Linked DNA regions of Pelodiscus sinensis. The protein of the gene in region 1 interacts with the protein of each later gene in a biochemical or structural test. Links are inferred from orthologs where the notes say so. Each region holds a gene or a part of one and is shown in the gene's direction. Other genes may lie near its edges. The genes, in order: KAT2B, H4C16, EP300 and CREBBP.

Evidence for each region.
Region 2: of the proteins of KAT2B (region 1) and H4C16, one has a biochemical effect on the other in vitro, tested with the Homo sapiens proteins (2 studies listed by BioGRID). The link is inferred for Pelodiscus sinensis from reciprocal best matches to the Homo sapiens genes KAT2B and H4C16.
Region 3: of the proteins of KAT2B (region 1) and EP300, one has a biochemical effect on the other in vitro, tested with the Homo sapiens proteins (4 studies listed by BioGRID, with this or other methods). The link is inferred for Pelodiscus sinensis from reciprocal best matches to the Homo sapiens genes KAT2B and EP300.
Region 4: the proteins of KAT2B (region 1) and CREBBP form a complex in vitro, tested with the Homo sapiens proteins (4 studies listed by BioGRID). The link is inferred for Pelodiscus sinensis from reciprocal best matches to the Homo sapiens genes KAT2B and CREBBP.

Annotation. Positions count from the first base shown.
Region 1 is NC_134712.1:191,345,482-191,353,058, reverse strand, and holds the start of KAT2B (histone acetyltransferase KAT2B), read left to right. Parts: upstream 1-4,575; 5' UTR 4,576-4,590; coding exon 4,591-4,741; intron 4,742-5,034; exon of another isoform or gene 5,035-5,168; intron 5,169-7,072; exon of another isoform or gene 7,073-7,226; intron 7,227-7,346; exon of another isoform or gene 7,347-7,361; coding exon of another isoform or gene 7,362-7,500; intron 7,501-7,503; exon of another isoform or gene 7,504-7,518; coding exon of another isoform or gene 7,519-7,564; intron 7,565-7,577. UniProt on the Homo sapiens protein: Functions as a histone acetyltransferase (HAT) to promote transcriptional activation. Has significant histone acetyltransferase activity with core histones (H3 and H4), and also with nucleosome core particles.
Region 2 is NC_134711.1:85,908,585-85,913,555, forward strand, and holds H4C16 (histone H4), read left to right. Parts: upstream 1-3,864; 5' UTR 3,865-3,991; coding exon 3,992-4,381; 3' UTR 4,382-4,446; downstream 4,447-4,971. Other genes in the region: histone H3, read right to left, coding at 4,863-4,971. UniProt on the Homo sapiens protein: Core component of nucleosome. Nucleosomes wrap and compact DNA into chromatin, limiting DNA accessibility to the cellular machineries which require DNA as a template.
Region 3 is NC_134711.1:89,545,340-89,553,132, reverse strand, and holds the start of EP300 (histone acetyltransferase p300), read left to right. Parts: upstream 1-4,790; 5' UTR 4,791-6,339; coding exon 6,340-6,433; intron 6,434-7,793. UniProt on the Homo sapiens protein: Functions as a histone acetyltransferase and regulates transcription via chromatin remodeling. Acetylates all four core histones in nucleosomes. Histone acetylation gives an epigenetic tag for transcriptional activation.
Region 4 is NC_134726.1:3,553,084-3,560,009, forward strand, and holds the start of CREBBP (CREB-binding protein), read left to right. Parts: upstream 1-3,911; 5' UTR 3,912-4,625; coding exon 4,626-4,710; intron 4,711-6,926. UniProt on the Homo sapiens protein: Acetylates histones, giving a specific tag for transcriptional activation. Mediates acetylation of histone H3 at 'Lys-18' and 'Lys-27' (H3K18ac and H3K27ac, respectively).

The DNA of each region.
Region 1 (7,577 bases):
AGGTGAGTGTTCTTAGTGCTACTATCACTGTGTCTCCCAAACCAGTCCTGTGTCTCAACTCCTTATCCAAGTCTCTACTCCCCATACTTCTTATCCCAGTCTCCTATCTCCGAACTCCTCATCCCAGTTCCAATCTTTCTCCAACCCTGTCTCCCAGTTTCCTATTGAGGCAATTTGTTCCAGTTCCCACCTGGCTGTAGAGTCTTAGTCTTTCCCCACATTGGCTCCATGTCTCCTTGCCCAGCCAGTCCCAATTTCTACCTCATATAACCGCAGTCTCCTCACACTACCAGTCAGAGTCTCCTTACCCAGCCAGTCCTTGTTTTAATCTACTCTTTCCCCTGCTTGGGGAGGTCCAGCTCTTGTCCTTTCTTCATTCCTCCATGCTGCCTGTGAACCAGAAGGGGGACATTGAAATCAGAGAAGAGAGGGAGAGAGTCTCCCTGTTCTTAGATTTAAGACCTGAACCTACTGGATCAGCAGTTGCAGAGAGGGAAAGTTTTGTTCAATCAATGCAGCTCCAGGATATAGCATGTTCAGCGTTGATGGAATTGTCAGGGAATTTAGTTGTCAATCACTAATAAAGTCTCTACTGAGCATGTGTGAACTGAGATTTTTCAGAGGCGTATAGCTTGACAGGTTTGGGCAGATTTGATAAGAAAGGCTAAAGGCACACATCTCACACCAGGGTGACTTTCCCAGAAAATTTCAAAGCTGCTTCAAAGCACGAGGGTGCAGGAGTGTTTGAATAAAACACATACGAATTTGTTTAATGGATGAAACAAATCTTATTCTTGGAAACAAACACAAAATTAAATTAAATTAAATCAGCCTGAAGTGTGGAAAAAATCCACTCAAACAGCTAAAGCTTGGCAAAATTATAAGTGAAAACAAAATTTTATAATGGAAAGTGACAAACAACCTTATCTATAGGTGGCACAACCAGCTCTGCTTATAATGTGTAATGACTAAGAAATCATGCAGATGGTTTTACAAAACAGTTAAACTCCCTCCTGTGCTTACATTACTGTAATGTGACGTATAAAAAACACATCTTGTCTAGCATTGCCTCTCTAGATAAATAGATTCTTGTGTATGTTGGTCCTCAGATACAGTCCTGATAGGTACAGTATAATAACTGAGAAGTGCTGTGTATAGCACAGCTAACTATAGCATGTAGCATTGTATCTAGTAAATACACATACGTGCTGCGTATGTATGAATACTTATATACTATATATTGGAGACAGTTTGTCTCTGCATCTCTATCTGTTTTTTCAAGAACTCCTCCTAAATGGTAAGAGCTAGGAACACCAAATTTGGTATATGGCTTCCTCTTCTCCTAACCTAAAGCACAGTCAGGGTTTGGTTGTGCCAGGAAAACCAGATATGCAGGGAATGGAAAGGGAGGGGCTATTCAGATGGACGCTATAGTCATAGTGGCCACTGGAGGTAGCAAGCACTGGGAGCGCTAAATGGCAGTGTCCCCACTGGGGGAGTTGCACCACCTGACAGAAACCCTCCAATATGTTTAAGATGCCTCTGCCTCTGATTAAATTGAGGCAGGAAAAATCATTTTAAAAGTTATATGTGGACACCCCGATCTGTGATCAGTAACATCTGCTACAATATTGGCAAACACTTAATATTTTTCTAACATCATAATGTGTATTCTCCCTCTGCAGACTAACAGACCAGTAGCTTTTGCTCTCAGGCTGCAGGAACGATTTGTATGAGGGAGATTGTGCCTCACTGAAATATGTACAGAAAGCTTCTCTATACAGTGGAAATAAATGTCCATGTAACCCCTGCTTGCTGGAAGTGGTGCTCTGTCCCTCTCTGGTGGTGAGTAGGCCCATAAAGCAGGGGTACTCAACACGTGGCCTGCAGGTGGGATTCTTTGAACATGGCCTCCACTGGGAACATGCAGCACAACAGTGAGGCGTCTCCCAGGCAGGGTGAGCTTGAAAAATGCAAGCAGATGGGCTGGCTGGAACAATACAGGGTATTGGCGGTTCTAGCCCTCAGGGAGGAGGTGCTGGGAGCACTGGGACATTGTAGGTGCTGGCTGCTTAGCCTTGTGGGCAGAGCCTGAGAGGTGCTGACTGGCTCATACTAGCTATGTTTGGGTTCAGTGCTGCAACTTAAGGCTTAATCTTTGTATTCAAGCCTGTCAGTGTGAAAAAAATTATTTGCATATATATTTGCATGCAAATGCAACCACACTTAAATTGCAGCCCTCAGCATGTGCTGTATCTTTGTGTCCCCTGGGGCTTCCAAAGTTGAGTAGCCCTGTCATAAAGATTCATGAGCCCACTACAGCCTTGGCCAGTGGTTCTCAGCCCTGTGGCACAAACAGCCCACAGCTTGGACCATGTGACATGCTCAGGGCCATACAGATAGTGTACGTGTGTGTGTGTATATATATATATATATATAGAGAGAGAGAGAGTTTGGATGTGGCTCACATAACAGGTAGAGAGCTACCTAGGGCTATGTCCTCACTATCAGGTTATTTTAAAATAAAAACTCCCGAAATAACTATTTCAAAATAAGCTTATTCCTATTCACAAGCAGGAGTTATTATTTTGAAATAAAAAGCCCATTATTTTGAAATAATGGGTTTGGTAGTGTGGATGCTCGCCTTATTAGTTTGGAATAAGGGGAGTGGTTTCAAAATACAGTAAAACTCCATTGGTCCAGCACTCCTGATGGTCCGGCACCATCAGGAACCCGGAAGTGCTCCGGGCAGCCGGACCATTGGAGCTGCTCTGCCCCCGGCTTCTCTGATTCAGCCACTACTGAAACTGACCAGCGGCTGAATCGGGGAAGCTGGGGGCAGAGCAGCTGGAATGCTGCCGGTTGGTCCTGTAGCGCTGCTCCTCGGTGCTGCAGGACCAACCCGGCAGCACCCCAGCTGTCCCCGATTCAGCTGCTGCTGAAACCGACCAGCGGCTGTCTCCCGGAAGCCCTGGAGTCTGCCGCTGATCAATTTCAGCAGCAGCTGATTTGGGGACGCCTGGGACAGAGCAGCTGGGGTGCTGCCGGGTTGGTCCAGTAGCGCCGCCACTTGGCGCTGCGGGACCAACCTGGCAGCACCCCAGCTGCTCTGCCGCAGGCGTCCCAATTCAGCTGCTGCTGAAACTGACCAGCAGCGGCTGAATCAGGGACGCCGGGGGCAGAGCCGGACTATCGGAAGGGGGGGCTATGAGAGGTCTGGGGTGGCATTCCCCCCACACCACCCTAGACCCCCTCATAGCCCCCCCCTTCCGATAGTCCGGCAAATCTGATAATCCGGCACCCCCTGGGTCCTAAAGGTGCCGGATTATCGGAAGTTTACTGTAACTCCCCAATGTAGACATGCCGTGGGTGGCGTACAATGGTAAATGGGTTGAGAATCACTGGCTTGCGCTAAAACAAAGTGTTGTTCAGCTCATGCAGTAAAAGCTAACATGCTAGTGCATTTAAAAGCTTCAGAGGACCCAGATTTGAACCTACTACTGAAACCCTTTTGGAGGTTGATATTATGCACATATGAAAAAAAAAAAGTTCTGGGTATTGTTCAGATTCTGTGATTAGGGGGCTCTCTGCATGCTTCTGTTGCAGCCTGCATATTTTGAACTGACCGATCAAAAGAGTTGGTGATATCAAAAAGGCCTGATGTAAATGGGGGGAATTTCCAAGCTAAATAGGGGGTAACATGTTTTACAGTCTTGGTTATGCACAATAACATTCTGGTTAAACTAAAATCAGATTTTAAATCAATGTACTTAAATCCTTGTTTTCCCACTGATGGATACACTTACATAGGAAAATTGTACTAATTATACTGATATGATTAAACAAGTATCATTATATTGGTATAAATCCTCATGTGAACACTTTCATAACAGAATAAGTGTGTTTTCATGTCCATGGTGAGTGTCCTATTGTCTTTATTCATATTTGAAGATTAACTCATGTTTTTCCTGTTTGTTTTTTCTACATCAGAAATATCAGGTCTTGACTTCCCTATTTCTTCAGGAGGGCTGAAGAAATGCAGAGAAATAGTGAGGTCACAGTATATTGAAACTGTGTTACAGCTTTCTAAGCCCTAAATTGAGTGGGAAAGCAATGAGAAAACTTAAGATTCCTGCCTACTGTGATATTTCTATGCAACACCAGGGCTTTGAAGAAAAGACCTGATATTGCTGATATGTTTAAATATAAAAATAAAGCAGAGAAAAACAACACTTTAAAATGTGAGGAAAAATGTCACGTCATTATTAAAGAGAAGCAAAGGGGCAGAAACAATATATTTGCTAAGCAGTTTATGTTTGAGGACCAGTGGATTACTACTATAAAATGTAGACTATTTGGCTTCTGACAGACTACTTATATGAGCAAAGCTACTTAAACATGTAAGTGTTGCAAGCTGCCAGACCATAGGATTGTGGGCCTGAAGCCACAGGCTAATATTGCACAATTCACCACAGTCTCAGTAAACATATTAGTTCTGGGTATTGTTTTACTGCTGTTACTCTTAGAGCTGGTCAATACTGGTAAAGCATATAGTTAATCTTTATCTCAGGGGTGGGCAATAAAACGGTGATGGTTCACATGGGCTATCCCCTGGGGGGCCGCTGCCGCTATATTTACCTGCCCCTCCTCCTTAGGTCGGAGAGATCACAGCTCTCCTGGGCCGTGAACAGTGATCCGCAGCCAACAGGAGCTGTGATCGCCTGTACCTGCGGAGGTGCAGGTAAATATGGCAGTGAGGGGGCCTGCAAGGGGCTAATCCTGGTAGACTGGATCTGTCCTGCGGGCCAGTATTTGCCCAGCCCTGCTTTATCTGCTATTGCTACCATTTGGCTATATGGTTGAGCAAGGAGACGCATGAATCACATATTTTCTAAGTTGTGTACATGCCACTAATTAAACTGAGGATCAAATCTCTGATTTGTAATGAAAACTAAAAGCTACAAATGTTATCTTTGTGTAACTATTAAGAATGCAGAATACAAATGGAAGAGCCGTATGAGCATATTTCCTTACCTGTGTCATTCCTCTCCTTTCTCCAGGATGTGCTCCTTCCTCCCTTACCTGTCATCGCAGTCACTTCAACTGTAAACTGTTTGGGGCACAGGCCCTTCTTTCCTGAGCTTGCTCTGAAACTCTGTTTATGGTTGTGGGCACTACAAAGTAATCTTTATTACAAATAAGAATAGGATGACTGCAGGAAAGGTGGTTGGCTGACGTACCTTTGCTGTCTAGCACATACTGGAGGAGGAAGAGAAGAAGATGATGTATCTCTGAGGTCACAGTCTCCCTGAAAATGTCATCATAATATCACCCAACAACATATTTTGTATCCTGCCAAGGCTACACTGTGGCAAATTCTCCTTGAACAAGGATCATCCTCCTCTTCCTCACCCCCATTGTTTTTCATCTGCTTCCCTCCTCTCCCCTCCTCCTGTCTCTCTCAATTGTCCCTTCCTTCTCTGTCTCACACTTCTTCCCAAAGTTTGCTCTTCCCTGTCCCTTCCCTCCTGGCTCCTCCTCTTCCATGTGCCAGCAGTGTGGCCATGCTACTGGTGCTATCACATCACTGTCAGGTCTCCTCTCCTTCTGAGGGGTACTCTATTCTCTCCACATGTAATACAAGGACAGGCTGGAGGTGACTTGAAAGGGAATTATTTGTACTACAGAATGTTGATACTCCCAGGACCATTACAACCCTCTAGCTTGCCTGTCACACGGCTTGCAGCCACACAAGTGCTGCCAGTGGGAGCTAATATTTGCAGCATCACAGGTACAGCTCCTCCTCTAAGCATCAGTAAGTAAAGCCCTGCAAATCCATGGATATCTACTTTATATCCACAGATATCCACAACTGTGGATGTGGATGCATTTATCCATGGCTCATTTTTGCAAATATGGATGTGCATAAAACCCTGTGATCCAGCATTTCTCAAACTGTGGGTCCTGACCCCCTGGGGGTTGCAAGCAACTTAGAGGGGGATCGCAAGCAACTGAGAGGCTGGTTGCAGCAACGGAGAGGGGGGTCGCGATATCACAAGTTTGAGAACCCCTGCTGTAATCCTTGAAGTAACAGCTATGCCCTGGACATGGTGCACTCTGTGCTCCCCAAAACAGAATGCCTCATTTGTATGTACTGCACTATTACAGCTTGCACTGCTTTGTTTACACTAGTGCAGGCTGAAGTGGTGTTAATTTGATCCACAGATACTGAAGCAATTCAGAATGGCTTCCACCATAGGTATGAGGTGACCACAATAGGAAAAGCTCTAATCCCTTTCCTGGACAGTTGCAGAACAAAGCATACATGTTTTCATAGTGTAGCTACATGCATTGGATGGAAGTCAGTGGCTGTGCCTACCTAAGCATTTTACTTTCTCTTGCAGTACCGTAAAACCAACAGTGCAGTTCCAATGCTGGCAGCAATAGAAAAGCACTAGAACAGTCCAGCTACTGCATTTTAATCTTGATTTGGGTCAGAAGAAATCTAGATATCACACATGAGTGGTCAGTGAAGATAAGGCTGGGGGAGGTAAGCCTCCAGCTCCAGCCCCCAATCCCACCCCTTCAGCTGAGCCCCTCTCCACTCATGGGAGCCAAACCATCTCTCCGACCCTCACTATGGGGAGGGGAAGAGGGTGTCTGGGCGCACATGCCGCAGCCTCCCCGGCCTGGAGCACAGGGGAGGGAGGAGGATGTGTGGGTTCAGTCTTCCCAGCCCCCAAGCACAGGGAGGGAGAAGGGTGCATGTCTCTAACCTCCCTGACACTTGAGCATGGAGTGGGAGAAGAGTGGGTGGAGTGGCTCCAGCATCCCAGGTCAGGAGCACTGGGAGGGTGGGTGCTGGGGGCAGTAACACTCTGCCCCCAATACGCCTATAGCAGGTATTCTGGGGGGGACTGTGGGGGGGGACAGGTTGGCCATTTGGGAAAGCAGAGTCTTCTCCCGCTTATAATACTGGACGCTCATGATGTCACAATGATAAGATGCTAGTGGCCAGGCTATTCTAGCTCTCCCACCATCACTAGCACTCATGCAGCTGCCCTGGTGGTAGTATATGCTGGGAGAAGTTAAGAAAGAAAAACTTCTGTGAAGACAACTAGCCAGTTGAGATGGGGTCAGGAAAAGTGCTGAGAAGTGAGATGTCCTACATGATGCAGGACCCTTAAGAGGCCTACCTGACAATGAACTATTCAGAGCAGTAGCAGGTGAAGAAGACATGAGCTGTAACAATGCTACCATCTAACAGTGAGCTTTTCACAGAACAGTAGTGGCAGGAAAGGGAGAGACAAAGTTATTAGAAAGGCCATATTTCTCTGCACAAAGAATGCCAGAATTATATAATGGGGAATTCTATTCCAGGAAATGGTGACTCTGAAAATGATGTGGGTGCCATAGTGAATAATCATCTGAACATGAGCTCCCAGTGCTCTGCTGTTCACAGTTCGAGGAGGATGTTGGTAAAGAAGACCCACAAGAAAGGTTACACATTTAGAAAGCATGCCTTATAGTGACAGACCTAAGGAGCTCCATCTATTTAGAAAAGGTTAAGAGGTGAT
Region 2 (4,971 bases), on another chromosome or scaffold:
TTGATTTAGCGGGTTTGATTTAGACCTGTAAGTCAAACAGTGAGGGAAGCTCCAGCTGGCGCCTGTATTCCTCGCAGTCCCGAGGAGTAAGGGAAGCCTACTGGAGCATTTGCTCCTCTTGGCCTGCTGCTGTGTGGGTGCTGGAAGCTGACTACAGCTATGTATTCTATGTAGCTGGAATTGTGTACTTTAAGCTGACCTTCCAGGTCTAGTGTAGACCTGGCCTAAGCCGTGTTTCCAAAGCATGATGATGTGCAGACTTCAGCTTTGCTGGGCTGTAGACCTGTCTGTTAAATGGGAGAATCTAAAGGAGAATCCCCTGAGCCCTAACTGAGGCCCCAAGGCAAAGCATTAATGGAGGTGGGCGCTTACCCCCTCCTCTCCTCTTACAGCCAATGCCTGACTAATTACGCTATGCCTTAAAAAGTTTTAAATGGAGCTGTCTCTGTCCTTGCATACAAAACCTGTTTAAGCATATTGGTTAGTGCCAGTGCACGATTCTTCCAGGGAGATGGGCATTTCATGGACACGGAGACTGGCTCCAGTGCGAGAGCACCAGTCACTCACTGAACTGAACAATCATTAAAAGATTCCTGAATGTGGAAAATGGCTCAGTTTTGGAATTTCTTCTATGTTGCTCCTTGTGTGTCCTGAAGTGGGCGATACAAACCTCATGCTGAGCTGAGTAGGGCCACACTTGGGTTGGAGTCTTACTTGCACAAATGGTTCAATACTTGTAGAATGTGCACATTGACATCTGAACAGAAGGCTTGTCTGTATTCCCGGACTGGAACTGGAATGTACTTAACTTCTCTTGGTGGTTTCGGTAACCGGGTTTGGTTCTTTAAAGGATTTGAAACCACAGACAGAGGAATACTTCTTTTTAGGGTCAAACAAAGATTATTCATTTTTTTCTATTTACTTTATAATTAATTTTCCATTTAAATCAATTCACTATTTTTGATTCTTTTAAGACAATATAATATACAAAGAAAAAGTAGAAAAACAGTATAGTTGAAAAAAAAAAAACAAGAAATAATAACTTCTCCTACAGATATACCCTCCTGAGTTACCGTTAAACAATTTATGGAGTTAACAAATATATAATACTCACGTTAAGAAAGATAGAAGCATTGCTTAGATTCAGGAGATATTCTTTTCTTTGTTTTTCCTTTCTTTGGATTTTTTGTTGCAACAGGTGTTTGTTCCCCTTTCGGAGCTTATTTGTTCTCCTTTCGGAGCTTATGTGCGGCAGCAAGATTCAGCGCCGGGGAGGGAGACCTGGTTGATCAGACCTGGCTTTTGGGGTTCGCAACCTGTCCGCTCTTGGTCTGTTTCAACCAACCTTATATACCCTGTTTCGGTATTTTGGTACTCCTCCACTCGCCTGACAATTGCTGACGTTAGATTTTTGTTGTCTCATTCTGTCCTTACAAAAAACTTTCGTCTGCTCATTTTGGGGTAATCAGCACTTTTGTTGCATACTGCTGTGTGAGGTACTTACTTCCCTAAAAGCAGGGTTATTGTTGGTGAACCAATCAAATTTTGTTTTTATTTTTATCTCCTGTATCTGACAATGCTGCCTTTCCTTTCCACTTACAATTAAACTGGTACTCATTTGACATATTCTGGGTAGGCCGCAACACATCACTTTCACAGGTGGAATGATTTTCAAAGGCAGGATACCAGGTCTTAGTGTATCTCCTGTCTTAAACTGTGGAAGTGACAGACTCCTCTTCCTAGCATGAAGCATGCACAGCAAGCTTTACGGGGAGGGGAAGGAGTCATGTACTATCCTATGGGACTAATCCTGCTAATACACTTGATGGTGGTGCTAGCTGTGGTTTGAGAACCACGCTCAATTTACTCCCTGAATGACAGAAGAATGCCAGTAGGAGAAGGCCCAAATATCTTCCTAACGTTATTGGGCTCCCTGCACAGTGAGAGGCCCAAGAACTGATAAAAGGATCATTGAAGTGCTAGTGACAGAGGTGGTTTAATTCTCCATAAGAAACCTGGAGGTAATTTTAATCAAAGTTAAAACCCATATACATGTCATTGTTTTCTCTCCAGCAGTAAACAAACCAAATGAACGAATTGCCGGTGGACGGGCAGGAGGGAAGGGAAGATGCAATCAAACAAAACCAATCTCCAGCAAGAAAAGGAAAAAAAAAGTAAAACTGTCGAATTTCATGATTGACTTTGAGAAAACCTTTATCACTTGTGGTGTGCAGAGATCAGCAAACCAAAGAATACTTACTCTAAAGTTCCTTAACTGCCCTGTGTATAAAGAAATATACATAGATTACATATTTTACAGCAGATTTCTCTATTTTCCTCTGTATGTTAGTGCAAGTAACTAAAAATCTAGCCTCTTCAAAATCAGACAAACTTTGTGTCCACATTAAAAAATGAAAGAAAAGCTACCAATCTCCCTCTAAGACTTCTGCAACTGCTTTGGATGCGTCTATGCAGCAGCATTATTTTGGAATAATGGATGTTATTCTGAAATAATGCGAGCGTCTACACAGCAATTCCGTTCTTTCGAAATAATGGACGGCTTATTCTGACTTCTGTAAACCTCATTCCATGAGGAATAATGCCTATTCTGAAATAGCTATTTTGAAATAGCTGTAGTGTGGACCCTCCTCTACTGCTATTTTGAACTAGCTCCTCCCCAGGGCCATTCAAAGTCATTACACCCTAGTGGTTCCTGGGGCTCTAAATCAAGGTAGCATCCTCAGGACTATCTTTGAAGCTTTCCCATAGGGTACGTCTAGACTACCGCGTTTTGTCGACGGAAGTTTTGTCGACAGATACTGTCGACAAAACTTCCGCCAACAAAGAGCGTCCAGACACATTGAGTTCTGTCGACAAAACAAGCTGCTTTGTCGACAGAACTCCGTAGTCTGGACACAACGTTACAGGCAATAACACCTTCTGTCGACAGAGTTCTTGTCGACAGAAGGTGTTATGCCTCGTAAAATGAGGCAGTAGTGTAGACGCTGGTATAGTTTTGTCGACAAAAGTCCACTTTTGTCGACAAAACTAGGTAGTCTAGACACACCCATAGTGTAGACATGCTATTGTAAAATAAACTATTTTGGAGTATTCCTTCTGGAGTAACTTATTCCGAAATAAGTGTGCAGTGTAGATGTACCCTTTGTGAAATAGGAGAGGAGTCTGTTTCTTAGTATACTTCGGTCATCAGAAGAAGTGGGTTCTGCCCAGGAAAACTCATGATACCAGGTACGTGTTTTGTTAGTCTTTAAAGTGCTACTAGACTATTTATTGGCGTTGAAGTTTTTTCCTGTTACAGAGTAACTCCGCAACCCCTCTGAAGCTTTTGATTTCCGAGGGTCTGTTTTCAGTGACCATTCAAATCCGTGGTCAGACGCAGCAGCAGCAGCGACATCGTTCACGTTAGGCGAGAAGAAAGAAAACAATCAGGAGCAAGGGGAGGGAATCCGAGTGCCCATGCTCCCGGTTTTTGGCCGAAGCACATGTTAAACCCTCCTTTCCTTTGTACAAGCTTTGGAAAATGGCGGCGGCGGGGGCGGGGGAGCAGAGAAAGGAGCAGGGAGTGAGGAAGGGAGGCGTGCGTGAGGGAACCTGATTGGCCGTATTTTGCCGCAGATTCCTACTTGAAACGAAGCCACACAATGGCAGCCGCGTTATCGTAAGATTTGTCGAAAGGGAAAATATTCCAAAAACAGATAGAAAAGGTGACGTAAAGAGATTCCTAATCTAGCCATCTGCACGCTGAAGGAGAGGCCCACCAGCGTCAGGAGAGGCGGGCTTCCAAAGGAGCCCCCATGCTTCGTGCCAGCGCTTCACCCCGAGTCGCCTAAACCCCCCGCGCCAGTCCCTTTTAGTAAGCAAGCTAGTTTTGCGAGCCTTGCGCCGCCCCGGCAGTCAGAGGCATGGACAGCGAAGAGCGGGGGAGGGGAGACGGTACAAATAACCCGCCCTTTTCCCTCTGCGGTTCTCAATGAGGTCGGACTTCAGGCAATATACGGAGACGATTACCCGGCATCGCCATGCAGCTGTGACTGAAAAGCTAGCGAGCATGTCTGGCCGTGGCAAGGGAGGTAAAGGTCTCGGGAAAGGAGGCGCTAAGCGCCATAGGAAGGTATTGAGAGATAACATCCAGGGTATTACGAAGCCAGCTATCCGCCGTTTGGCGCGCCGTGGGGGCGTGAAGCGCATTTCGGGTCTCATTTACGAGGAGACTCGGGGAGTGCTGAAGGTTTTCCTGGAGAACGTGATTCGAGATGCTGTTACTTACACCGAGCACGCGAAGCGGAAGACGGTGACTGCTATGGACGTGGTTTATGCATTGAAGCGCCAAGGCCGTACTCTGTACGGATTCGGAGGCTAAGCCTGGCAGTCATTCTTAGGGAGAAGAAAAGAAAAAACTAACCCAAAGGCTCTTTTCAGAGCCACCCACGCTTTCATAAAAAGGAGCTGCTGTTGCTGTAATGGTTTGGGGTCTGGCCAAAGCCTTCGTTACATTAGTAGACGACGGCTGTTCAAATTAGCTCGGGTGCCGGATGGTAGCTTCTCACACGGAGAAATACTTTGCTTTGCGTTCTATACAGCGCATTATCGCTAAGACTTAAGTGAAAACCCAACACTCCTCTCCTCTCCCCCCAAAATAAAAGCGCATTTCTAAAGGCTTCTCAGTTTTAAGTTTGCGGGAGCGCATCCGGACTGCGGGGTGGAAAGGGGAAAACAACAGTGGGGTGTTTTTGCCCGATAGTAGCGTGTACCTAAGGAAGCGGAAATACAGCTCTTTTCCGTGTAAATGTGGTGGCTCTTAAAAGAGCCTTTGTGTTTTAAATGGTTGCAAGATAAGGGCTTTAAGCTCTTTCCCCTCGGATGCGTCGGGCCAACTGGATGTCTTTAGGCATTATAGTAACTCTCTTAGCGTGAATGGCGCACAGGTTGGTATCTTCAAAGAGACCAACC
Region 3 (7,793 bases), on another chromosome or scaffold:
CTGCCCATGTCCTGTGGAATGCTGGCAGAAGCATGAAGGGACATATGAATCTGGCCTATAAATATCTTGCAACACTGGCTACAGCTATGCCATGTGAATACCTGTTTTCGCTTTTCAGGGATGTCGTAAACAAGAAGCAGAAGGCATCATCTCTTACAAATATAAACAAACTTTGTTGTCCGAGCGAATAGCTGAACAAGACGTAGAACTGAGTAGACTCATAGGCTCTAAAGTTTTACACTGTTTTGTTTTTGAGTGCGGTTATTTTTGTACATAATTCTACATTTGTAAGTAGTACCTGTATTAAGTGAACTGAAAAATAGTATTTATTTTATTTTACAGAGCAAATATTTATAATAAACAATAAAATGAGCTTTGTACACATTGTATTCTGAGTTGTAATTCAAATCAATATATTTTGGCTGTGAAAATAGACAAAATTATTTATATATATGATAGTCTACTATGGTTTAAGACCACAATGAATTGCATGATTAAATGTGGTTAATCACAATTAATTTAATTGCTTGAAAGTCCTATAAATATGAATAAGTAATAAGTAATAAAATAATGAATATATTAGATTTGATATCAGGATTATACTAGTAAATTGCTCAAAATCTTAGCTATGTCCTCTAAGGTTTCTACAGTGATAGAAATATTTTTTCATAATTATGAATTTAGCAGCAAATCAGGTCAAACTACTTCCCTCATGGAAGAATAAACATATGGAAGGTATTACATAGAAAAGCAATTGAAATAAAAGAATAAAAATGAGACACCTCTATTGGTTTCTGGAGAAGAACAGGATTATGGAATCTGGAAAACCAAACACACATGCAAGAACAAACATAGGATTAAGATCAACCAAAAGAAGTAACATGTTTGGGTCTCTCTTTTAATTGGTAAAAATGCCCATGTTTTATTTCATGAATCTAAGTAAACACACATGGCAACAATCTGGCCATGTTCCACTACATGGTCTGTTCCTATGCCAAAACAACTGGGTACATTATTGTTGGAAAACAATCATGAAATACAAAGTATACAGTGTCAAAACAGAAAATTCATGTATCCATTTGCACAAAGCACAGTGCATGGTTACATAATAAAAATGCCATCTGTTTATGCAGCTATCCCATTGTGCCTCAGTTTCTCTAACTGTACAGTAGGGATAATAATACTACTACACAGGGCCTTGTGGGGTATAATTAATTTGTTATTACCAGTAATCATTATGATTGCAATGTGCACTGTGGTTATTGGATGAAAGGTGCAATAACATGAGTGTAGTTATAATAAAAAACTGTTTAGGGATATAATGTACAGGCGGCCCCCACTTTGTGACAGCCCAATTTATGACCCCCCACATTTACAAGCTTTTTGTAAGTGCAGAAGGGGCCGAAATCCCCCGACTTATGTCCTCGGCTCCACATTTACAATGGCATATGACACCTGTCATAAATGTAGACTCGAGTTACGACATCCCCAACTTGCGACGCTATCTCCAGAACCAATCACGTTGCAAGTCGGGGGCAGCCGACAGAACAGAAATATGGAGCCTGAACTTATATTATTGGTTTGAATTTTGCCTCAGATTAGTAGTAACTTGAAAGCTATTACCAGGCCAGTTATTTTGTAGCCTGTGAAAAATCAGATGACAAAATCCCCTTCCTACTCTAAGGGTACATCTACACTGCAACACTATTTTGAATACCTAGGATCAATGGTGCTGACAGTGGTTCCTCTCTATGTGATGCCTAGCATTATATCAAAGCTGCTTGGTATAAATGGAATGGTAGGAATTGACCTCAGTTCTGTGTGATAAAAAATACCAATACAATTAAAAGGTAGGGTGTAAAACTGTAGTTCAACCCATCTTAATGTACAGAATAGAGTTTTGGACAGACACAAAAGAAATCAGTGTGCTCTCCACTGTAGAGATGAAGGCAATTAAATGATAGGCAATTAACTGAAATTATGAAGGGCCTAATGAGGGTTGTCCCAATTGAAGACAAGTTCAGAACATTGGTATGGACCAGTGTTCCCCCTAATCTTTTCCATCTATGTGTGAAATAATTTTTATGTGCACTGAGGCATGTGTGAATGTGTACCACCAGTAGAAACAAAACCTAGCTGTGGGCATTTTGTTAATTATCTGGGCAGCATTTGAATCTCTCCTGAGTGACTGCACAAGCACATGGCTTACAAGGAACACTGTTATGGACATGTCTAATGGAGAGCTGACAGTTATGGTACAATGGTCCTTGCGCTGTTCTTGGACAGAAGATGACCAAGGGAGAGGATAAATACTTGGTACATAGACCAAATTTCAGCCAACCTAAACATGACTAACTTGCATGACAGCCAGGTGTACAGTTATGAGTTTTGGAAGAAGGCAATAAAAGTCTCTGACCATGAACAGGGAAGTGGCAAGAAAGAAGATACCAAATTTTGTATCCCTCTATATATTCTTTTCTTTTAGGCCTAACTCTTATAACTTGCTCTGCATGCATGGAGCCTTCTGGCTGGGCACAAAACTTGCTGAAATCACTAGGTCTGTGCATAGGTGTAAGGATCTGCTCACATGGAATAGGTTGCAAAACAGTGGCCAGATATTTAAACTGCTCGAACAGGCAGTGTCTTTATACCTAGGACAGAGCAAAGCACAACACTGATGCATACTAAATAATAGTGTAGTGTAGGTGAGATCAGAATTTGTGTTTGTGAGAAACCAACCTTGCAAAATTGTCATGAAAGCATATAAACTCCAGTACAAGATCTATGCAGCTGTACTTGCCGATTATGATTAATGATAATGAGGGAGAAACCATAGTGTATATGCCTGAATATAGGGATGTGAATGACTCATTGACTAAAGGTGTCTAGATTACAGAGTTTTTTTCAAAAAAAGTGGCCTTTTTTCGAAAAAACTTCCCCTGCGTCTAGATTGCTGCCACATTCTTTCGAAAGTAAATTGAAAGAACGCGGTAGTTTTTTCAACCTTGGAAAACCTCATTTTACGAGGAAGAATGCCATTTTTCGAAAGTGCTCTTTCGAAAAAAGGCGATATGTAATGCAAACTGTGCTTTTTCGAAAGTACTGGTTGTAGTCTAGATGCTCTTTTTTGAAAGAAGCTTTTTCGAAAGTATCTTTCGAAAAAGCTTCTTTCGAAAGAGGCTTGCAGTCTAGACATTGCCTAATTGACTATCTGATAAACAAATGCTTATTGGATAGTCGACATGCTAGTTGACTAATCACTTCCCCCCCCTTGCTGCCTCTATCAGAAAGAGGCAGCAAGGGGGAGGGAAGAAAAGCGGGTGCTTCAAGGTGGCAGTGCCATGTGGAGCCCAGGGTCTGCTGCTATGAAATGCTGTGAAGCCTGGGGCCAGCTGGGGACTGGCCTTCCAGCTGGCCCCAGGCTGCATGCAGCGTTTCAAGCAGCAGCGCTGCATGGAGCCTGGGGTTTGTTGCTTTGAAACGCCAAGTGCAGCCCAGGGCTAGCTGGGGACTGAACTCCCAGCTGGCCCCAGGCTGCATGTGGCATTTCAAAGTGGCAGCTCTGCATGGAGCTCAGGGTCAGGTGGGGATTCTGAGTCCCCCGCTGACCCGGGGCTATATGTAGTGTTGCTCAGGGGTGGATATAGGGCAGGGTGAGCCGAGTGGCCACCCCAGGCCTCGCGCTTCAAGAAGCCGCGCGCATGCGCCACCACACGTGCGCCGTGTCAAAGGGGGGGCCGCGCAAAATTGTGCTCTTCTGGGCCCCGCAAAATCCTCATCTGCCCATGGTGTTGCTGCTTTGAGCAACACTGGCAGCTCTGGAACTGTTGCTACACTTCAAAGGCTGAGGCTTATCGACTAAGCGAATAATGGATGCAAACTGCATCCACTATTCGATTAGCCAGTTAATCTAAATGTAACTTCCCTACCAGTATCTACTATATATTTGAGAGAGATTTTCTGTGTCTGTCTGTATGCTTGTTCAAGAACTCCTTCGAAGTGGTAAGAGCTAGGACCACCAAATTCAGTACTCAGCTTTCTAACTTCAAGCAAGGTACATTTTCATTATGTTTTCAAAACAACCCAAAAACCTTAATTAAGGACCCCAGCAATGTCAGGTTAATGTCAGGAGAGCGGAGCTTTGCCAGGCGGGTCAGACTCCGCTTTAGGGTGATGTATCAATGGCAGGTTACACAACGGCGTAATCTGCATCTCTGGGTAGGTACATGCATAGCTGTCGCTGTACTGCGCATCACGCAGCCACCTCGCTGAGTAGAAATCGACATAGGAAATGGGCCAGATCCTGCTCTCCTCCCCCCTCCTCCCCAGCCCTTGAAATCCAGGGTCTGAGCTGCGGGGCCTTTGTCTCTGCCGAGCCGGGAGAGGCTCCGGGCAGCCGCGCCCCCGCCCAGCGGTGCAGCAGAGGAGCTGCCCACTCCAGGTTGCGCTCCCCCGCCCCCCCCCCCCAGCAGTCGGGTTACAACAATCCTGCCACAATCAACCACCGCGCTGCGTTTTTCGGCCGACTAATAAAACAAGGAGGCGGTGGGCGGGGGAGGAAGGGTTTCTTTTCCACCCCTCCTTCTCCTTCCCCTTTAAGAGGCGGAGGTGAGGGAGTTTGCGGAAGGCCTCGATGAAGCAGGGCGCGCGGAGTGGGCGGCCTGACCTCGTGACTGCCTCTGGCCCCGCCCCTGATTCTCCCCCCCGCACCGTTCCAGCCCCCACCCTCCGCGTTCCATTGTGAGTGCGAGCTCCGCGTGGCCCCGCCTTCCCTCCGGGCCCCGCCTCCTTTTTTTCTCTTGGCTCACTTCCGGCCGCCGCCGCCGCTCGCTTCCCTCCGAGGACTCGGGAGAGTGAAGAAACAACAGCCGCCATTTTGTTTGTGTGTGAGCGACTGAGGGAGGGCGAGAGAGACCGAGCCGGACGGGGCGAGCCAGGGGGCGGGCAGCGCAGAGAGACTCAGGGGGCCCGGGCGGGGAACGGGAAGAGAAGAGAGTCCGAGACCCACCCCCGTTAACCACACCAGCCCCACAGCCAGCCGCCGAGAGCCAGGCAGCGGCACTAGGGAGTCTGCGCGCTCGGCCTCCGCTTAAAGCCCCCGTTCCACCCCGCCCCGCCCGCCTCCGGGGAGCAGAGGAGACCCCCCCCCCGCGGTCTCTTTTATTCGTGAGGGGGAGATTCTCCCCCCCCCCGTCCCGGGATTTTGGGTGGTGTCTGGACCCCCGCTGGGGCCCCCGCCCCCGAAGGCGGAGGCGAGAGGGCGTCCCAACAGCGCCTGAGAGGCGGAGAGTGACCGTCGCCGAACGCAGGGTGGGGGAGAGGAGCCTGACACCCCCCGCCCTGCCCAAACCAGCGCTAACCATCCTCAGCCACTCGGGAGGGGAAGGTAGCGCGAGAGAAGGGGGGAGGGGCCGGCTGCTGCTTCCTCCTCCTCCTGCCCTGGGATCGGTCCCTCCGCTTGCTCAGGGGGGCACCCTGCTCCTCCGGCTGGGAGAGAGCGAGAAGGGGGCGCTGAAACCCGCCCCCTGCACCTCCATCCAGGGATCGGCGCTGCTTCCATCAGGACAACAACCCCTCCTCTTTCCCCGCACGACAAGATGTGAAGCGGAGACTCTTGGGACTTATCCTCACCCTCCTCATCCTTCCAGCTCCCCGCTCTGCAGCCATTAGTGCCTGGCGAGGAAGAAGCAAGGGGAGCTGGGGACCCCGGACACGCACTGTCTTGCTTCCCTCCAGCCCCTTCGCGGGCAGTGGGTGGTGGTTTTTTTTGCTGTGTGGTGTTGGACGGGGAAGGAGCTGCTAGAGGAGGGTGATTTTTTCCCCCTCTCCTTTTTCCTCCTCCTCTCCCCTTCTTCGCCCGCCTCCTTGTGGCGATGAGGAGGAGGAGAACGACGCCGAGGAGGAAGAGGCTGATGGCGGCGGTGAGGCGGCAGCAGGAGGAGGAGACCCCCCGGAGGATGAAGATGATGGTGGCAGAGATGAGGAAGCAGCAGCAGCACAGCAGCCGGGATTAATTTGACTAAACCCTACCAGGCTCTTCTCCTTCTTTTTTGTTGCTGGCACGGGGGGAGGTTTCCGTGTTCTTCCCGTCTCCTCTCTGTCCGGGGGAAAAGGCCTCTTCCGTACCCTACTCCCCACCTTTTCCCCCCGCTGAGTCGGTGCCACCCTACCAGAGACCGAACCCGAGGGGCAGAAAAAGGGGAACTTGGCCCCCCGCGTCCTCCAGATCCGTCGCTCGCTCTCATTAGTCCACAACTGAGTCGGGGATCCGAGAGGAAGGGGAAGATTTTGGGGATCCCCGTCCCTCTGCTCGCTGTGTTTGTCTAAAAAGAATTAAAAATGGCCGAGAATGTGGTGGAGCCGGGCCCGCCTTCAGCCAAGCGGCCTAAACTCTCCTCACCGGCGCTCTCCGTGTCCGCAAGCGATGGCACAGGTCAGTCTCAGGGGCCCAGACCCCCCATGTCCCAATAATACGCCTAGAACCCTTTCCTCTCCTCTAGTTTTCCTCCTCTTCAGCTCTGTTTCTTCCTTAGTCCCTTCCCCTTTTTGTCTTTCCATTTGCACCCGTTTTTCGTCTGCATCTATGTGTATTAATCTTTTCGGAGGGTATTTAATTGCTCTTGCCCTTTATTTGTTAGATGTGATTGAGATGGGATCTTATTTATTATTCATTTGGTCACTTGCAGAAAAGACTTAACAGTTGTACAGTTTTCATCTTTATATCTCTCATTTCTGGTGGTTATAGGCATAAAATAGTGCACAAAACATCTTAACTCTTAACAGTGTCTGTATACATACACTTATGTCTCAATGTTTGTTGGATTACATGCATTGTAAAAATCCTTACATATTTTTCTTCTAAATAAGAGAGTTTTTTCCCCATTCCTCCTTTTCTCTTGTTTGCATTCTGGTTATCCTATTTACTTTTTTACCATTTCCCTTCACCTTTTCTCACCTCTCTTTTCTCTAAGGAACAGCTATCCTGGTTTTTGCTAGAAATTTCTTAGTTGTAATTTTTAAGTTCTGGATTGCAGATTTTAGTGATGTGTAAGATTTTAAGACCATGTTTATCTGCATGCAAACACATAGCGTTTCATCTTATTTGCATTAAGAATCAATATGGAGCGCAGTTCATTTTGCATCTTCCATTTCTTTGCTGTGAGACCAAAATGTCTGAAATTTCCATGTAGATTTATTGGGTTGTGAAGATGAAAGGGTCTTTTTCTTTCTTCAAGGATTTTTAACAGTGGTTTTGTATGGAGGAACAATCCATAGTTGTTCCAAAATCAAGCTAGAGGGTATAAATTTTGGGTGTCCCAATCCCCATCAAATGTAAACTAGTTGTACTGGAAATTAACAGTAAGCTGTTCTTCACTGCCTCTTATTAAGAAGCAGATGAGCATTTGGTAAAATTCTGCTTTGAGAGTTCTGAGCAGCCTGTCCCCCGTTGTTTCTCAAAACTTGCTTTTAGATCTTCTTAGGTTAAAGAAAACTTTTGGGACTCAACTCTGTCACTCCCCCTGCATATATTCTCTAGTTAATGTTGTTGTTCCCGATAGGCACCAGTTTACTTGTTCATTGTAATTGTTTGAGCTGCCAGGAAAATGAGTAAAAAATGTCTGGCCGTCACTCAGTAAACAAGATGTTTTAAATGTCTTGCTTTCTGTTGTGCATTGGTTTAACTGGAATCATCTTAATTAAAAGTTTTTTGTTTGCTCATCTTCTTAATTTGTTCTATAAAGTTTATATACCTAATTGAAAAATGTTTGCAGAGAACTTTTAGAATACATTTA
Region 4 (6,926 bases), on another chromosome or scaffold:
GTACTCGAGAGAAATATGTTCACGGAACTATGTCAGAACAGTCCGGAGCTACTATGCCACAGCGATAGCCACCATCTTTGCTAAAACACCAGGGCTCGAACCATGGTCCCTTAAAGCTAAAAGCACAAGCTGCTACAGCCAAAGCTTTAGAGCAACGGGCTGTAACAACTCATATCCTCTGCAGCTTGGAACAGAGCAGGACCTGTAACACACATACCCCAGTGGGTTACCCACTACCACTGCAAATCCATATCCTAGTAACAACGCAAGGTTTATCATCCTCTTGTGAACCAGAATATATTGGTTCGGAACTGGAGGAAGGATGCTGTGAACTGCTATAGATTCTGGTAAACCCTTTGTTTCCAAGATCATTGAACACAGATGTGGGAAGTGAGAAAACTCTAGGTAAGGATTGACCCAAGCCAGGGTCCAAGTTTCACTGATTGAGCATTTGAAAAATAGAAAAAGTCATTAAAAAAGTTGAGAGTTCTGCAGCCCCGTATCACTTCTGACAAGCAATGTCTCTCCTAGCTGCCAAATCCTTCTTCCTTCCTTCCTCCATGTATTTCTTTTCTTAAAATTAGATTGCAAAGCTGTCTGGGGGAGGAACTGTGTCTTGAGATGTATTTTTGTTAATATGCAAAGGGGAAGTGCATATTGGATGTTGTGAAGACCAGGACTTGAACAGGGTTAAAAAAGAAGTAGGTAAATTAATGAAAGTTAGGTCCATCAATATTTATTAGCAGGGCTTGACAAGCGGCGGCGAGCCCTGCTCGCCAGCTGCGCGGTTTGGCACGCTGTGCATGCACAGACCGCGCTGCGCATGCACAGATCGCGCTGCGGCGCCATGCTGGGCTAAAATCTACTCGCCACAGGCGAGTAGATTGCCCTAATTGTTGAGCCCTGCTTATTAGCCAGAATGGGTAGGAATGGTATCTCTGTTTATCAGGAGCTGGAAATGGATGACAGGAGAGAGATCACTTGATGATTACCTGTTTCTGTTCATTCCTCTAAGACACCTGGCATTGGCCACTGTTGGAAGACAGGATACTGGTCTAGATGGACCTTTGGTCTGACCTAGCATGGCCGTTCTTATGTTTCAGAGGGGTAGCTATGTTAGTTCGTAACTGGAAAAACTTAAAAAACAACAAATAGTCTTGCAGCACCTTAGAGACTAACAAAAATGTAGATGGCATCATGAGCTTTATGTATCACGAGTATTATATTATTTTGTGATGGGTGTGCATACATTGCATGAAGGCAGCAAAGGAGTGCACCGATAGGTTTGTGTTTTGGGGACGATGTCTGGGGGTGTGCACATGCTATAGGATGCCAGTGTGAGGCTGAAAAATGCGGGGAAGCTGCATGATAGTCATGTGGGCAAGTGTTGTGTGGAGGTCTGGGTTCTGCAGGGATTGGGTACATGTGGGTGGAGAGCATCACTTAGACATTTAGGAACCACAGGGTGGCAGCATGGGGGCTGTGGGTGGACATCATAGAGAAGTAATGGAGGGGACACAGGCTTGTTGTGTGGGAAGGTACGGACACCACAAAGGGCATTATGGAAAAGACAGCATGAGAGATACAGGTCAGCATTAAGGGGGTATGGGGGAATGTTGCTAAGAGATTTGGGTGCCGTTGTGTAGGCAGGTTGTGCGCTATTTTTCATCAATGAGCAGAGCCGGCTCTAGGTTTTTTGCCGCCCCAAGCAAAAAATTTTTTGGCCGCCCCCCCTTTTTCTGTTCAGGGAGGGACTTGGGGACACAGGCACTGTGAGCACCAGAGTTCCCCTTCCTTAGACAAAGGGAGAGGGAGAATCACCTGGGTCCCAGCCAGGGGTGAGGTTGTCAGGACACAGCACAAGGGGGCTGGGTTCCTGGGCAGGTGTGTGGGGGAGGGGAGGGAGGGGGGGAATGTTTAGAGAGCCAGACAGGGGATGGGGATCCAGGCGGGGGGAGGGGGGAGAAGAGACGGGATCCCAGCAGGATTGCAGGGGGCTAGGAGGAGAAGAGAGGGGGGAGGAAGTGGGAGGGAGGGGGGGTCACAGGATAGTGGGCAGGGGGACAGCCAGTCAAGGGGGGTTCACAGGCAGGAGAGCTGTGGGGGAGAGAACACAGGCCGGAGGGGTGGGAGAGGGGGAGTGGTGGGAAGGGTGCACGGGAGCAGGGATTGCCGGCCGGGGGCGGGTGTGCACTCACGAAGGCAAAGAAGAGGCCCTCAGGCCCAGCCTCATCAGCCGCAGCCCCCTCTCAGGAAGTACCCAGGGCTGCCCACGCAAAGCTCCCAGAGCTCCGGGGCCAGGTGCAGCCTCCGAGCAGCCAGACACAAGGCTCCCTGCTTGGGAGTTGGGGCCCCGCCGCGGCTGAGCTCCAGTGCCCGCCGAGCCCCTGAACTCTGGTCCAGTGAGTTGGCTGCCGGGAGCAGCCACCATGGCCGTGGCCTGCCCCGCCAGGCTTAGCGTCACCAGCTGCGGCTGCCCTGTGCTGGGGCTAGGTGCTCCGTCCTCCCAGCGCCCCACCCTCCCAGAGCTCTGGGGCCAGGTGCAGGCTCCGAGCAGCAGAGTGCAGGGTTCCCAGCTCAGGGCGGCCTCCGCAGGGCTCCCTGCTGCCCTGCTCCTCCTGCCAGCCAGAATGCCACCTCTGTCAATGTGCCACCCCAAACACCTGCTTGGTTTGCTGGTGCCTGGAGCCAGCCCTGTCAATGAGATCAGGGACGGGTGACGAAGGGACGCCGCCTGGGTGCAAGAAATTTGGATCTACTGCAGCCATGGGCAACCTAGGCTAGTGAGTGGGCTGTATTAGTGGTCCTCCATAATCTCAGTGGTCTGGAAGATTGTCAAAACAACGAGAAGTCCTGTGGCACCTTGTAGACTAACAGATTTATTGGAGCATAAGCTTTAGTGGGCAAAGACCCTCTTTATCAGATGCAAGATTGTGGTAACCAAGACGGTCTCCTTGGTCAGGGTGGCTTTGCTAACTTCTGAGGGGTATGCTGATTGAACAATAGCAGTGCTTGGATTGGATGCAGAGGGGGCGCACGGCTCTCACAGTCTGTGTTGTGTGCAATCAGCACGCACCTCCCTCCATGTGCCCTTGCTCTATGTGTGTGTGTCACTTAAGTGATAATGGTAGGAAAGAAAACTATGTGGAAGGAAACCAGCAGACACTGGCAATCATGGACAAGGGTAAACAAAATGACTCCCGGGTTGCACGCAGAGCCCTGATGGGCCGCAGGTTGCCCACCATGGATCTGCAAGGAAGCAGCAAGTGAAGGGTATGGACAGATAGGGCAACGAGAAGGCAGCGTGGGGAGTGTTGCAGACTGTTGCACTAGTATTATTGGGGAGCAGCATGGTGCAGAGGCCAAGGCAACAAAAGTCCAGCTTGGTACTCTCTGTAAATGCTGGTGGGTGATGCACCCTGTCAGCCCGGTGCTATGATCCCTGGGAGGGGGTGCACTGCTGTGAGGCACAATGGCAGGGCAGGCAGGAGTGCTCTGCACTGGCGGAACAGTGGGGTGGGTGCTGCCCCGTTGCACTGGTGCTGCAGAAGGGGGGCACAGAGCATGGGGCCAGGTGGGCAGGGCAGGGAGTAGCATGGGAGTGGTGTGGCTGCTTGGTGGAGGCTGTTGCCCTAGTGGGATGGGGTTAGGGACAGCAGAGGTGCCCCTCCGAGGTGGCTCCAAAGGGGTAATTGAGCAGGAGCCAGAGGGGCGGGATTACTGTGCACGCTCATTTACATAGGTTTGCATCCTCTCCTCCCCCAGCCAGGAGCTCCAGGGCAGCTCGGCGCTTTCCGGCAGGGCTCGCCTCTTTCCGGGACGGGGCGTGCCCCCCTGCGCGGTGACGCAGCACGCCGGCCCCGCCCCCGCCCCGCCCCCATGGTCCCTGGAAAAGAGAAGAGAAAAAAAAACTTTTTTTTTTAATTGAGGAATCAACAGCCGCCATCTTGTCGCGGAGCCGGAGCGCGGCGCGGGCGGGAGCGGGGCCGGGCCGGGCCGGGCCAGGGCAGCGGGGCCGCCCGCCGGGGCACGGGCAGCCGCACGGAGCGCCGCGGAGGGCCAGACGGGCTCGGCCAGCGGGGCAGCGCCGGCCGGGAGGGGGCGAGCCGGGCGCCGCCGCCGGGACCGGGCGCAGTGGCCGCCGCGCTCGCTGCGCCGCGCTCATTGTTGTCCCCGCCGGCGGCGGCGGCTGCGGGCGGGCGGGGGTCGCGGGCCCGGGCGCGGGGCCCGGCGCGGGGCCGGGGCGAGCCCCCCGCTCGGCGGGGAGGGCGGGGACGCGGCGCGGAGGAGCGGGGTGGGGGGGCGCTATGCTCCCTGAGTGCCTGACTGACTGAGCCGCCATCCGGGCACCTCCTCGCGCGGCGGGGAGGGCGGGGGAGCGGCCGGGAGGAGCGAGCCAGGCGGGGGGGCGCTGGGCTCTCTCCCCACCCCGCCCCGAGCCCTCCTCCCTGCGGCCTGCTGCGGCGGCGGCCCGGCCCGGGCATGGGGCAGCGGGGGCCGCCGCCGGCCGAGCACTGAGCGGCGCTGTTCCCCCGGGCGCGCGGCGCGGAGTCTGCTGGCGGCTGCCCGCGGCCGGGCGCGCAGGACCGGGCGGCCCCGGGGCTGGCACCGCCGAGCCGGCTACCATGGCGGAGAACTTACTGGACGGGCCGCCCAACCCCAAGCGAGCCAAGCTCAACTCGCCGGGCTTCTCCGCCAGCGACAGCACAGGTGAGGGCACCGCGCGGGCAGCGCCGCTTCCCCGGGGGCAGCCCCTGCCAGGGGAGCCACCCGGCCGGGGCCACTCGCACTTCGCCGGGACCCCGCCCCCGCCAGCTGACCAGAGTGCAGCAGCCTGCAGCTGACTCCCCAGCCTGCCAGCTGCGCTCCGTGGCTCGGACCCGGCGTGTAACTTCAGCCCTCCACCTTAGAGCTCCACCGGGGAAGGCTCTAGGGCGTAGCACGACCTGGCGAAAGCGAGGGGCTCACCTGGCGCTGGCTTGTGCTTTAGAAATAAGTGTAAATGAAAGAGAGAGCTTCAGCATTGGTACATTTCTCTCGGAGTGGGGCAGCCTCTTCAAAGGCGTTTTGGTTTCCCAGGTGCGTGTAGACAGATTCCTTCGTGCGTAGCCTATGCGTGTGTAACTTTGACAAGACCGCAGAGTTACCTAGTGCGCTGGAATAGCTCCTTGTCTGTTCATAAATGTGTGAATGAGCAGTGTGAAGTGCTTTCGAGAAGTAGGCATTTTTCCATTACAGTAACTGCTTTCAAAAGTTTTGGCGTTGGGCAAGAGAGGCTTTTTTTTTGGGGGGGGGGGGAGAGGATTTTATAGACTTAAGGAAGGAAATTTGACAAATATTCTTCTAGGCAGTGTACACTTTTCTTTTGTGCACGTTTGTGTGTGCGATCGCTTTCACCTTCGCTTTCATCATTGTCATTCATAACCCTGGTCGTAACCCAAAAACTAGGTTTAACAAATGGTAGATTGTCTGCTCTGAGAATTTTCCTAAATATGTACGTGCCTTGTTACACATTTCAGTTTTCTTGTATACATGAAAACATCCCCACTAGTCTCGTAATGTTTACATATAATAAACTTGACAGCAGTGTGTCTTATAGCCATCTTTCACATAATAGGTGGGGAAGAGATGAGCGGGGGGGGGGGGGGGGGGGGGGATGATTGTACAGTAATTGCCAAAAGACCTGTCAGGTGTAGTACTCAGCCATTTTAACTCTTTTTGGAACTGACTGGAGTTGAGAGTGAATGGCAGTAGACACAATGCTGTGAAATGCCCTGTTAATCAAAATAACTGTTTGTAATCTTTCAAATAGTCACTTTAGGTTGCTACAGTAGTAGGTAAAAGATTTGAAACTGACTTTTGAAGGTGTTATTTTTGGAAGTTTTAATTTGAGAGAAACTCAGTTTTGCAAACTTATGCATTTTGGGTAGTCTCAAGGAACTCAACAAAATCTGTAGGATAGATACAGTTAAGCCTGTGCAAAAGTATTTGTGAGGCTAGGGCCTCAGTCAATGAAAAATGACACTGTCAGAGTAAGTACTGTATCTGACATATAGAAGGCAATACAAATTGTTAGGGTTCCAAAGTAGAGTATTAGTCAAAATGCTGAACCTAAAATGGGATCTTGTCTCTTCTTGATTAATAACAAAGTTGTGTGTCAACCATAAATGTTGCCTTTGACCAGTTTCTCAGATTGATAGATGTGAGCCACGTGCAACAGCAGGCTGCATATTGTACTGTTGAATGATGATTAAGGTTTCAGTCATGCAAATGCTTACACACATGCTTAATTTTACTATTGTGAGTAGTCTCAGTGGAGGATTGGACTATATATTTAATGAAAACACTAAGTTTTCCCTTGTTTCCCTTTCACATGCTGTTTTTTGTAGTAGTGAGTAGGTTTACTCAATCCGTTTTCTTGATAAATATTACTTCTTAGCTTGAATCATTCCAGTAAAAACATTTTTTGTTGAGATAAGATGTAGAATGTTCTTTCAAATTATTCGAGAGTGATGTAAGAATTATTTGAGGCAAATCTTCATTTGTGTATTGGAGTAATGTTTGCATGATTGAAGTTAAGTCTTGTGAACTTTTTTATGAATGTGATAGTTCTGTAAATTTTGAAATTATACATTGAGTTAGCATTTTAATAATACAAAATCAAAATATATTGATAAAAGTAAAGCCTTGTGTATATCATAAATCAGTATTAGCTAGATGACTAAAGTGATTATGTTCTTACACCAGCAACACAGTATGCTAATCAAAGCTAGTTACTACCAATACTAATTGTCAGGTTTCATCCCTATAACTAAGCTAATGAGTAAAATATCCATGGGAAAGGGTTTTCATTTATCTGCCTAACCAGTAGGATCCGTGTGTGTGTGTTTTATCAAATCCTCCGAGTTTCTTGTTGCATAATTTTA